2 linked regions of the Coturnix japonica genome follow. The protein of the gene in region 1 interacts with the protein of each later gene in a pairwise test. Links are inferred from orthologs where the notes say so. Each region holds a gene or a part of one and is shown on either strand. Other genes may lie near its edges.

Evidence for each region.
Region 2: the proteins of KIFC3 (region 1) and NEFL interact in binary tests that used the Homo sapiens proteins (3 or more experiments, as listed by UniProt). The two-hybrid records come from large-scale screens. The link is inferred for Coturnix japonica from reciprocal best matches to the Homo sapiens genes KIFC3 and NEFL.

What each region holds. Positions count from the first base shown.
Region 1 is NC_029526.1:1,981,511-1,985,556, reverse strand, and holds the start of KIFC3 (kinesin-like protein KIFC3), read left to right. Parts: upstream 1-1,232; 5' UTR 1,233-1,247; coding exon 1,248-1,382; intron 1,383-2,688; exon of another isoform or gene 2,689-2,769; intron 2,770-3,586; exon of another isoform or gene 3,587-3,651; intron 3,652-3,694; exon of another isoform or gene 3,695-3,888; intron 3,889-4,046. UniProt on the Homo sapiens protein: Minus-end microtubule-dependent motor protein. Involved in apically targeted transport. Required for zonula adherens maintenance.
Region 2 is NC_029537.1:2,098,911-2,102,924, forward strand, and holds the start of NEFL (neurofilament light polypeptide), read left to right. Parts: upstream 1-1,164; 5' UTR 1,165-1,213; coding exon 1,214-2,263; intron 2,264-2,996; coding exon 2,997-3,164; 3' UTR 3,165-4,014. UniProt on the Homo sapiens protein: Neurofilaments usually contain three intermediate filament proteins: NEFL, NEFM, and NEFH which are involved in the maintenance of neuronal caliber.

The DNA of each region.
Region 1 (4,046 bases):
TGGGGTGGCATGGCATTACATATGATGGCATGGCATGAAATGGAGTGATATAGGATGGCATAAGATGGCATGGAATAGAAGAGCATGACATAGGATGGCATAGCATGGGATGGAATAGCATAGGACAGAATGGCATGGAATGGCATAAGATGGTATGGCATAGGATGGGGTGATATGGCATGGTGTGGAATGGCATAGCATAAAATGGTATGGTATGGGATGACAAGATGGCATGGCATGGAGTGACATGACCTGGGGTGGAATAAGGTGGTATGGCATAGTGTGGCATGGGATAGCATGCTGTGGAATGGCATAGGGTGGCATAGCATAAGATGGCATGGCATGGAATGATATATGATGGCATGGCATAGGATGGCATGACATGGGATCGCACAGGATGGCGAGGCACAGCATGGCAGAATATAGCGTAGCATGGCATGGCACAACATGGGATGGCATAGGATGGCATGACATGGCACGGCTCTGTCCTAGCACAAGGTGGAAGAATGAGCAGCAGCCTGGCGATTGGCTCAGCCCAGATAAGAGGCTCCTTTGTACTGCAGAAATGCTGCTATCACGTGCAGATCTCTCTGCTGCCATGGTTACTGCCTGCTGCAGTGCATGCAGCACAGCGGTGTGACCATGTTGAGCTGGGACATGCAGCATTAGCATGGCTCTGGGTCCTGCTGCAGCACTGGGCAGTGTCCCATCGCTTTTTACACGAAGGCTCTTTTCATTAAAGTGTTTTCCTGTGCGCTAATTACGTTGGTTTTCCTTCTGTAAATGAGCCCGATATGATCTGTGTGTCTTGGCAAACAGCCTCGAGAACAGTAACCAAAGCCTTTTTGTTTGATCGCTGTTTGCTTTGCAAATCTCCCTGCTCTCACCGTTCCTGGCTGCCTTCAGACAGCCTGCACGTGCGGGTTGATGGGAGGGAAATGGGGCTCTGTGTCATTCCTGCTGCAGGAACAGGAAAGGTTTGGGTGTTCCTGAGACCCTGGGGTGGATGGCTGCACTCAGGGAGCAAACGTGCTGCCATCTGAGCACTGTTATCTGCAGAGGGAGAAAAGTCCACCTGTCCACCCATCTAAGAAATAGGTTGTGTCAGCAATTTGCAGGGCTGGGTTTTAATCTGCTCTTAAGGCACCGGCAGACAGGAGCAGAGGAGACGTCGCTTTCTCCTCCACTGCAGACAGAGTTGCTCTGCAGCAGCCGCCCTGGGGGCCCTTTGGGGAGCAGGCAGTGCCATGCATGCGCTGGGTGCTCTGGCTGCACTCTCAGTGCTGGGCTGGACTAAGGACAGCAAATGGAGGAGCGTGGCTCTGCAGAGCACCAGGGGACTGCCAGGAGCGAGGCGGTGGGCAGCAGGGCCCGGCCCCCAGGTGAGAGACATGGGGTGGGAGCGATGGCAGTGAGCTGCAGTGTCCATCCATCGCCATGCAGCTCCAGGTGCGGGTGTAGGGCTGTGCATTATAGATGAGAGCTGTGAATAATGCATGGCAGGGTAAGTTTGCAGGCCGAGCAGTTGGGAGGCGACAGAGCTGTGCCATTGCTCTCCCCTTCCAGAAGGGCACAGCAGCACTGCTCTTCCCACAGAGGCTCCTATGGCTGCGTGTCCCTGTGGGATTCAGCTCTGAGCAGCCAAAGCCACGCACTCAGTGTCCCTTAGTGGCACGGCTGCTGACATCAGCCTCCAAACTCAGTTCCCTAAATTATTCACAATTACTGCTTGAGCGTCTCCTCCAAAACCAAACGTGCTTCCGAGGGCACTAAAAATAGACAGCTTCGCCGAGGACGGGATGCCTTTTTTAAAGGAGACCGCTGCCATCCTTTCTGCCTGTATTTGCACCTCCTGGCTCAGCTCCTGGGGAGAAGGGCAGGGATGGGGCCAGGCCCTGCAGGGACCCTCCAGCTGCACAGCAGGAGAAAAAGACAGGGCTGCTGATGTTGGGTGGGTGAGTGGGGGCAGCTCCGGGTCACCTGAGTGCTGCCCTATCTCAGCATCGCTGCCTGCGGGTTGGGTTAATTCCCACTGTGAACTTGGAAACGAGTACAAATTTCTCAGGAGCACACTAAGACTTAATTAAAACTCGTTAAAGAGCTCAGATGGCAACGAGGGACTGTGGGGTTTCGTTAGCTGCTCCTGTGGGCTCAGCACGGGGATCCCCTCACTGGGGCTCTCAGGGAGGAGTGGAGTTACAGCACTGAGCTGCGTTATCATTAATTGCTCTGTGGGGATGATTCTCGCTCCATCTGATGATCCTCCCGGTGGGAATTTCCTACAGAGAGCACCCAGGTGTGCCCACGCCTGCATTCCTGCCATCAGTTTGCTGGAAGGGAATGGAGGGGGAGGTTAAACTTTGGCCAGGATATCGTATTTTCCCCCCATCTCCCCCGAGGTGTTACAGATGTAGGTTAAATATTTGCTCGGGGCAGAGCAGACTGCAAATGCAAAGGGCCCCCATCGGCACAATCAATGGGGCTTCCCTCCATCCACACTCGTGGGCAAATAGGGGGGAAATGGGAATGAAGCCGCCTGGCTGAGCCGATCCCTCATTGCATACACACGCACAGGAGGTGGCAGCGGGGCTGGCCGCCCTCCTGCTGCTCTCCCAGCGCTCATTGATCCCGGGCCGGCACTCGGATGTCTGCTCCCAGGCTGGCAGCGAGGAGGGATGCTTTGCAGACGGGGAAAGAGCTGCTCTAAAAGGAAGGGCAGAGCCCGCGGCGCCGCGTTGGAACGTGGAGAGAAAGCAAAGGCAGCACGCAGTGAGCTGGGGCTGGAGAGAGGGGGGTGGGGGGGCAGCCCTATTGCTCGCGCAATATGAGGGTGATAGAGGGGCTGCTTCCAATGCGAAAGAGCCCTGAGGGTCGGGATTTCCATGCTCAGCCCCGAGTACCATCCTTAGGATAAACCCCACCGGCCCGGTGGGCACCCAGATCTCCTGGTGCATTGGGGTCCTGCTCTGGGAGCCGTCCATCTCCCCTCACCCATTTAGTCTCTTCTCGATGCAATTGACGCAACGTACGCCCGCTGCATAATTGCAATGCCATCAAAAAACCTGAAGCATTCAAAGGACAGGAAATGACTTAACGCCCAGAGCTATTTGCATAAACATTATTTTGCCCTCACAGCTCGTAAATTAAGGCAGTGACAATACGACATTTAGAGTCGCTGCTGGAATGCTTACAGTCACCTCGTGTCCGCCCGTGTCATCGCTGAACCAGCGGCAGCCGCTGCACGGACACGGGGAGCCCTGCGTGAACACCTACAGCACCCACAGTGGGGCTGAGAGAGACTATATGGGGCTGAGAGGGGCTGTGGGGGCTGGATAAGGCTATGAGGGGCTTTAAGGGGCTGAGAGGGGCAGGTCGGGGCTGTGTGAGGCTATGTACAGCTGAGAGGGGCTATATGGGGCTCTGTAGGACTGAGAGAGGCTGTGTGGGACTACGAGCAGCTGTAAGGGGCTGAGTGGCAGAGTTGGGCTACGTGGGGCTGAGAGTGGCATTGCGGGGCCGTGCATCCCCCAGGCACCGCCGCCCGTCGGGGGTCCCGGGCGTTACCAGGGCAACGAACCGGGGCGGAGCAGCCGGTGCCGACGCCCGGGTGGGCGGGACCGGGGCGGGGAGCGGAGCCGCAGCGGGCGGCCGGTGAGCGGCACCGGGAGGGAACCGGGAGCGGGCGGTACCGGGAGCGGGCGGGGCCGGGCCGGGCCGGGCTTCCCTTTGTGTGCGGGACGGCGGTGGGAGGGACCGGGGTGCGGAGCGGGACCGGCGGACTTTGCGAGGTGCCGAGTCGCTCTCCCTGCGGCAGCCGAGGGGTCGCGGAGCCGGGGACCCCCCGTGCCATGCCGGCAGCCCGCCCGGGCCGGGAGCTGCCCCTGCAGCGTGAGTAGCGCCCAGCTCCGCGGAGGGGCGGGGGGAGGAACCGGCAAGCCCGCATTCTTCGCATTGCTGCGCGGCCGGGGAGCGGGAGCGAGCTGCAGAGCTGCAGGGGCGTGGGGTGCCCTGCGGGTTGCGCGTCCTGCTGCTCGCCCTGCTGCCCG
Region 2 (4,014 bases), on another chromosome or scaffold:
ACGCTTGATTCCATCCAACGTGAGCTCAAATGAGAAGAGATTACAGCTTTCTGCCTTTGAGGGGCCATTGCCTTACACAGCTTAATACACCTCACCATCAAGTACAGTGTAACCTATGGGAGTGATACTAAACAACAGGTAATATTCTGAGAGCACTAGAAGATAGAAAGGAACCCAATGAAACCATCCCTGCCTCGCTTTTATTATATGATTCACATTAAGCAAGCTTATCTTTATGCAAGAAATAACCTGAGCACCATTGCAATTGGTGACAGGTACACAGATTCTACTTCTTTCTCCTTTCCTTAGGGAGCAAGAGAAGGTTTTTGCAGTACTTCCTGCTAAGAAATGCTGCTTCAGCATTTGCTTCTTCCTTAAGCAAAACCTGGAAAGTGTATTGGACTAAAATTAGCCCTTCTAAGTCAGAGAGACAACATAGAGACAACGTACCACCACCTTTTGGGCTATGTTTCCCTATTTCATTTTTAAGATGCAATCTCTGCTGTGTAAATACTGTTTTATTCTTCTTAGCAGCTCATAACCTGGGCCAGGGGTAGCTGTGATGGAGCCATGCAGCTTTAGTCTCTGCTGTAGTCAGATTGTGCCAAATATTCAGACCTTATGCTCTAAATTTGCCCCTGTGAGTGTTTCAAAGGATGAAGCAAAGCTGAATAACCAAGAATTAATGCATTTTGCTGGTACAACAAACCACATACTGTCTTTTCTTTCACCATTACCTGGTCATTAGGAACCACTGCTAACAATGCACGTGGTGAGGACGGAGGGAGAAAGGCTGGAGCCTCGCTGGAACTGCAAACATAAAGGGGAAAGGAAGGTGAAATGAGCTATTTATACACACGTTCAGGGGTTTCTGAGGTACGAGAGGGGGTGATGAGGTACAGAGGGGTGATGGTTCAATATCGTGATCCGAGATGGGGCTTTGCAACCCCGGGGATCCATCAGAGCGGCACGAGAGAAAATAGCGATGTGGGGCGAATACGATGGAGCTGCAAAGTGAACGCAGCCCACCCGCTTCATCACCAGCTCTGATAATCATCCGGGCTCATCACAGACCCCCACCATTACAGCAGCCTCAACGCAGCGCTCCGCCCCATCCCCGCCCGGCTGTCGTTCCTCCCACCCTCCCCGTCCATAAATACCAGCGTTCGGGCGGTACCGGTCCGCAGAGCCCTCGCTGATCCCCTCTACAGCCATGAGCTCGTACGGCTACGACCCGTTCTTCCCCTCTTACAAGCGGCGTTATGCTGACAGCCCCCGGCTGCACGTCTCCGCGATGCGGAGCGGTGGTTACAGCTCAGCTCGCTCGGCGTATTCCAGCCTCTCCGCACCCGTCTCCTCCGTGTCTGTGCGCCGCAGTTACGCCACCTCCAGCGCTTCAGGCTCCCTCCTGCACTCGGTAGACAGCCTAGATCTAAGCCAGGTAGCCGCCATCAGCAACGACCTCAAGTCGATCCGTAGCCAAGAGCGGGCCCAGCTGCAGGATCTCAATGACCGCTTCGCTTGTTTCATCGAGCGGGTGCACGAGCTGGAGCAGCAGAACAAAGTGCTGGAGGCCGAGCTGCTGGTGCTGCGGCAGAAACACGCCGAGCCGTCCCGTTTCAGAGCCCTCTACGAGCAGGAGATCCGCGAGCTCCGCTTGGCCGCCGAGGAAGCGACGAGCGAGAAGCAAGCGCTGCAAGGAGAGAGGGAGAGCTTGGAGGAGACCCTGAGGGGGCTGCAGGCTCGCTACGAAGAGGAGGTGCTGAGCCGCGAGGATGCTGAGGCTCGACTGCTGGAGGTGCGCAAGGGAGCGGATGAAGCAGCGCTGGCACGAGCGGAGCTGGAAAAGCGCGTGGACAGCCTGCTGGATGAGCTGGCCTTCCTTAAGAAGGTGCACGAGGAAGAGCTGGCCGAGCTGCAAGCTCAGATCCAATACGCTCATCTGTCGGTGGAGATGGACGTGTCGGCCAAGCCCGATCTGTCGGCTGCGCTGCGCGATATCCGCGCTCAGTACGAGAAGCTGGCGGCTCGTAACATGCAGAACGCCGAGGAATGGTTCCGAAGCCGCTTCACTGTGCTCAGCGAAAGCGCTGCTAAGAACACAGACGCCGTCCGAGCCGCCAAGGATGAGGTATCCGAGAGCCGCAGGCTGCTTAAGGCCAAGACGCTGGAGATCGAAGCTACCCGTGGTATGAACGAAGCGCTGGAGAAGCAGCTGCAGGAGCTGGAGGAGAAACAGAGCGCTGATATCTCAGCGCTGCAGGTGAGTTGGTTTGAGGAGGCTGCGGATGCACAGCGATATCTCGTGGCATAGTGCAGCATTGTGGTCTGAGGCATCCTTAAGGATGCTGCTATAAATCGCCTTAACAGTAGGAAAAGCATTAAGGGGAATGCACATGCATCAAAAACCAGCAGCAAAACAAAGCACAGGCAGCTTTTTAGACCTTAAATAAGAGAATTAGTATAAATGCACTTAAAATATCCCGGTTAAACTAGGGGTAGATGTTAAAAAATCAAATAAAGCATGCACAGCTCATGGATTCCTTAGTGCTTAAATAATCAAATAGCTAGGAATTGGCTTAAAAATAGCATTAGTGCTAGAGAGAGCGTAAGGGAAAAGCACAGATGTCATAAATGAAGTGGGGTATATGCTGCTCATAGATGCTTCTGTCCTCAAATTGCAATGAATTCACTTAGCATTAGGAAAAGCATGAGGGGGAAGCGCAGTTGTCAATGAAGCATGCACAGCTCATGAATGCTTTAGCCCTTGAATCATAAGAAATGTTATTCCTTAAATGATAGGGAATGAAGCTATTGATAGAGATGTAGGGGTGGAAGATGTGCCAGCATTGCTAAGCAGTGTTGCTTTGTGCACTTTGGGATGTGGAGCTGTTCTCCTTCTATCAAGGTGAAGTGATGAGGGTGCTGGAATTCTTGCAAGCATTGTTGATATACACAAAGGTTTTTTGCATTGCTTGTGTTCTGCCTTCCAACAGGATACAATCAACAAACTAGAGAATGAATTGAGAACCACAAAGAGCGAGATGGGTCGGTACCTAAAGGAATACCAGGATCTGCTCAACGTCAAACTGGCCCTGGACATTGAGATTGCTACCTACAGGTATGATGGGGGAGGTGTTTCAATAAACCATAATGTGAATTAGGTTCTCCTTTTTATGCGTATTCCTACTTAGTTTTCCTCCAGCAGAGAGTGCCATTGGTGGCAGAATTTAATAAGATTTTCTCCTTGGCTTTCTATTTGGAAGAAGCAGCGCTTTTAAGGTAACAGCTTGTGTTAAACAGAATCTGTGCTGCATAGCAAACATGAACATCATACTGTTCATATATATATATATATGCATAGGGAATTAGGAACTCAGCTGTGTAATCTCAGTTCTCCATCTTTACAAGTAAAGTGTGTTCTTGTACCTAGGAGCTCAAATCTCTTCGCTCTACAATGCTTTTATATCATTAAGACTTGTTAATATAGGTGGCTTTATTCTCAGGACTTAAAATCCCTTAGACACCTTTAACAATGAGGTTTCTTTCTAACTCACAAGCTGTGCCTTGCTAAGCCATTATCTTACTAAAGAATTACTTTTAAATAGCAAAAAGAAATCATCCTGGATGCCAGTAAGTGCTGAAATGGTTTCTAAGAGCCCCACAGGGGGAATACTGAAGGTGGCTATAAACCTTGTCTTACAGTTAACTGTGGCATAGAGCTGTTACATCCATACTGTTGTCTGGAACAACATAGCTTATTGAAATACATCTGTATTTCTACCTGTTGTAGAAACCTAATCCTGGGGGTGTGTTCCCCATTGTTTCTCCCAATGAGAAGTACTGATTCCAAAGTAATACACAACTCTGAAGCTTTAAAATTTTCCCAAGATCAGGCTGCTATTGCTGTACCATTAATATGGTTATATTTGCACTCCTGAGTATGCAGCCTCTAGAGCTTGTGCTGCTCAAAGCATATTGGCCCATAGCTGAGTCTGCAGCATAGCTAAGGCA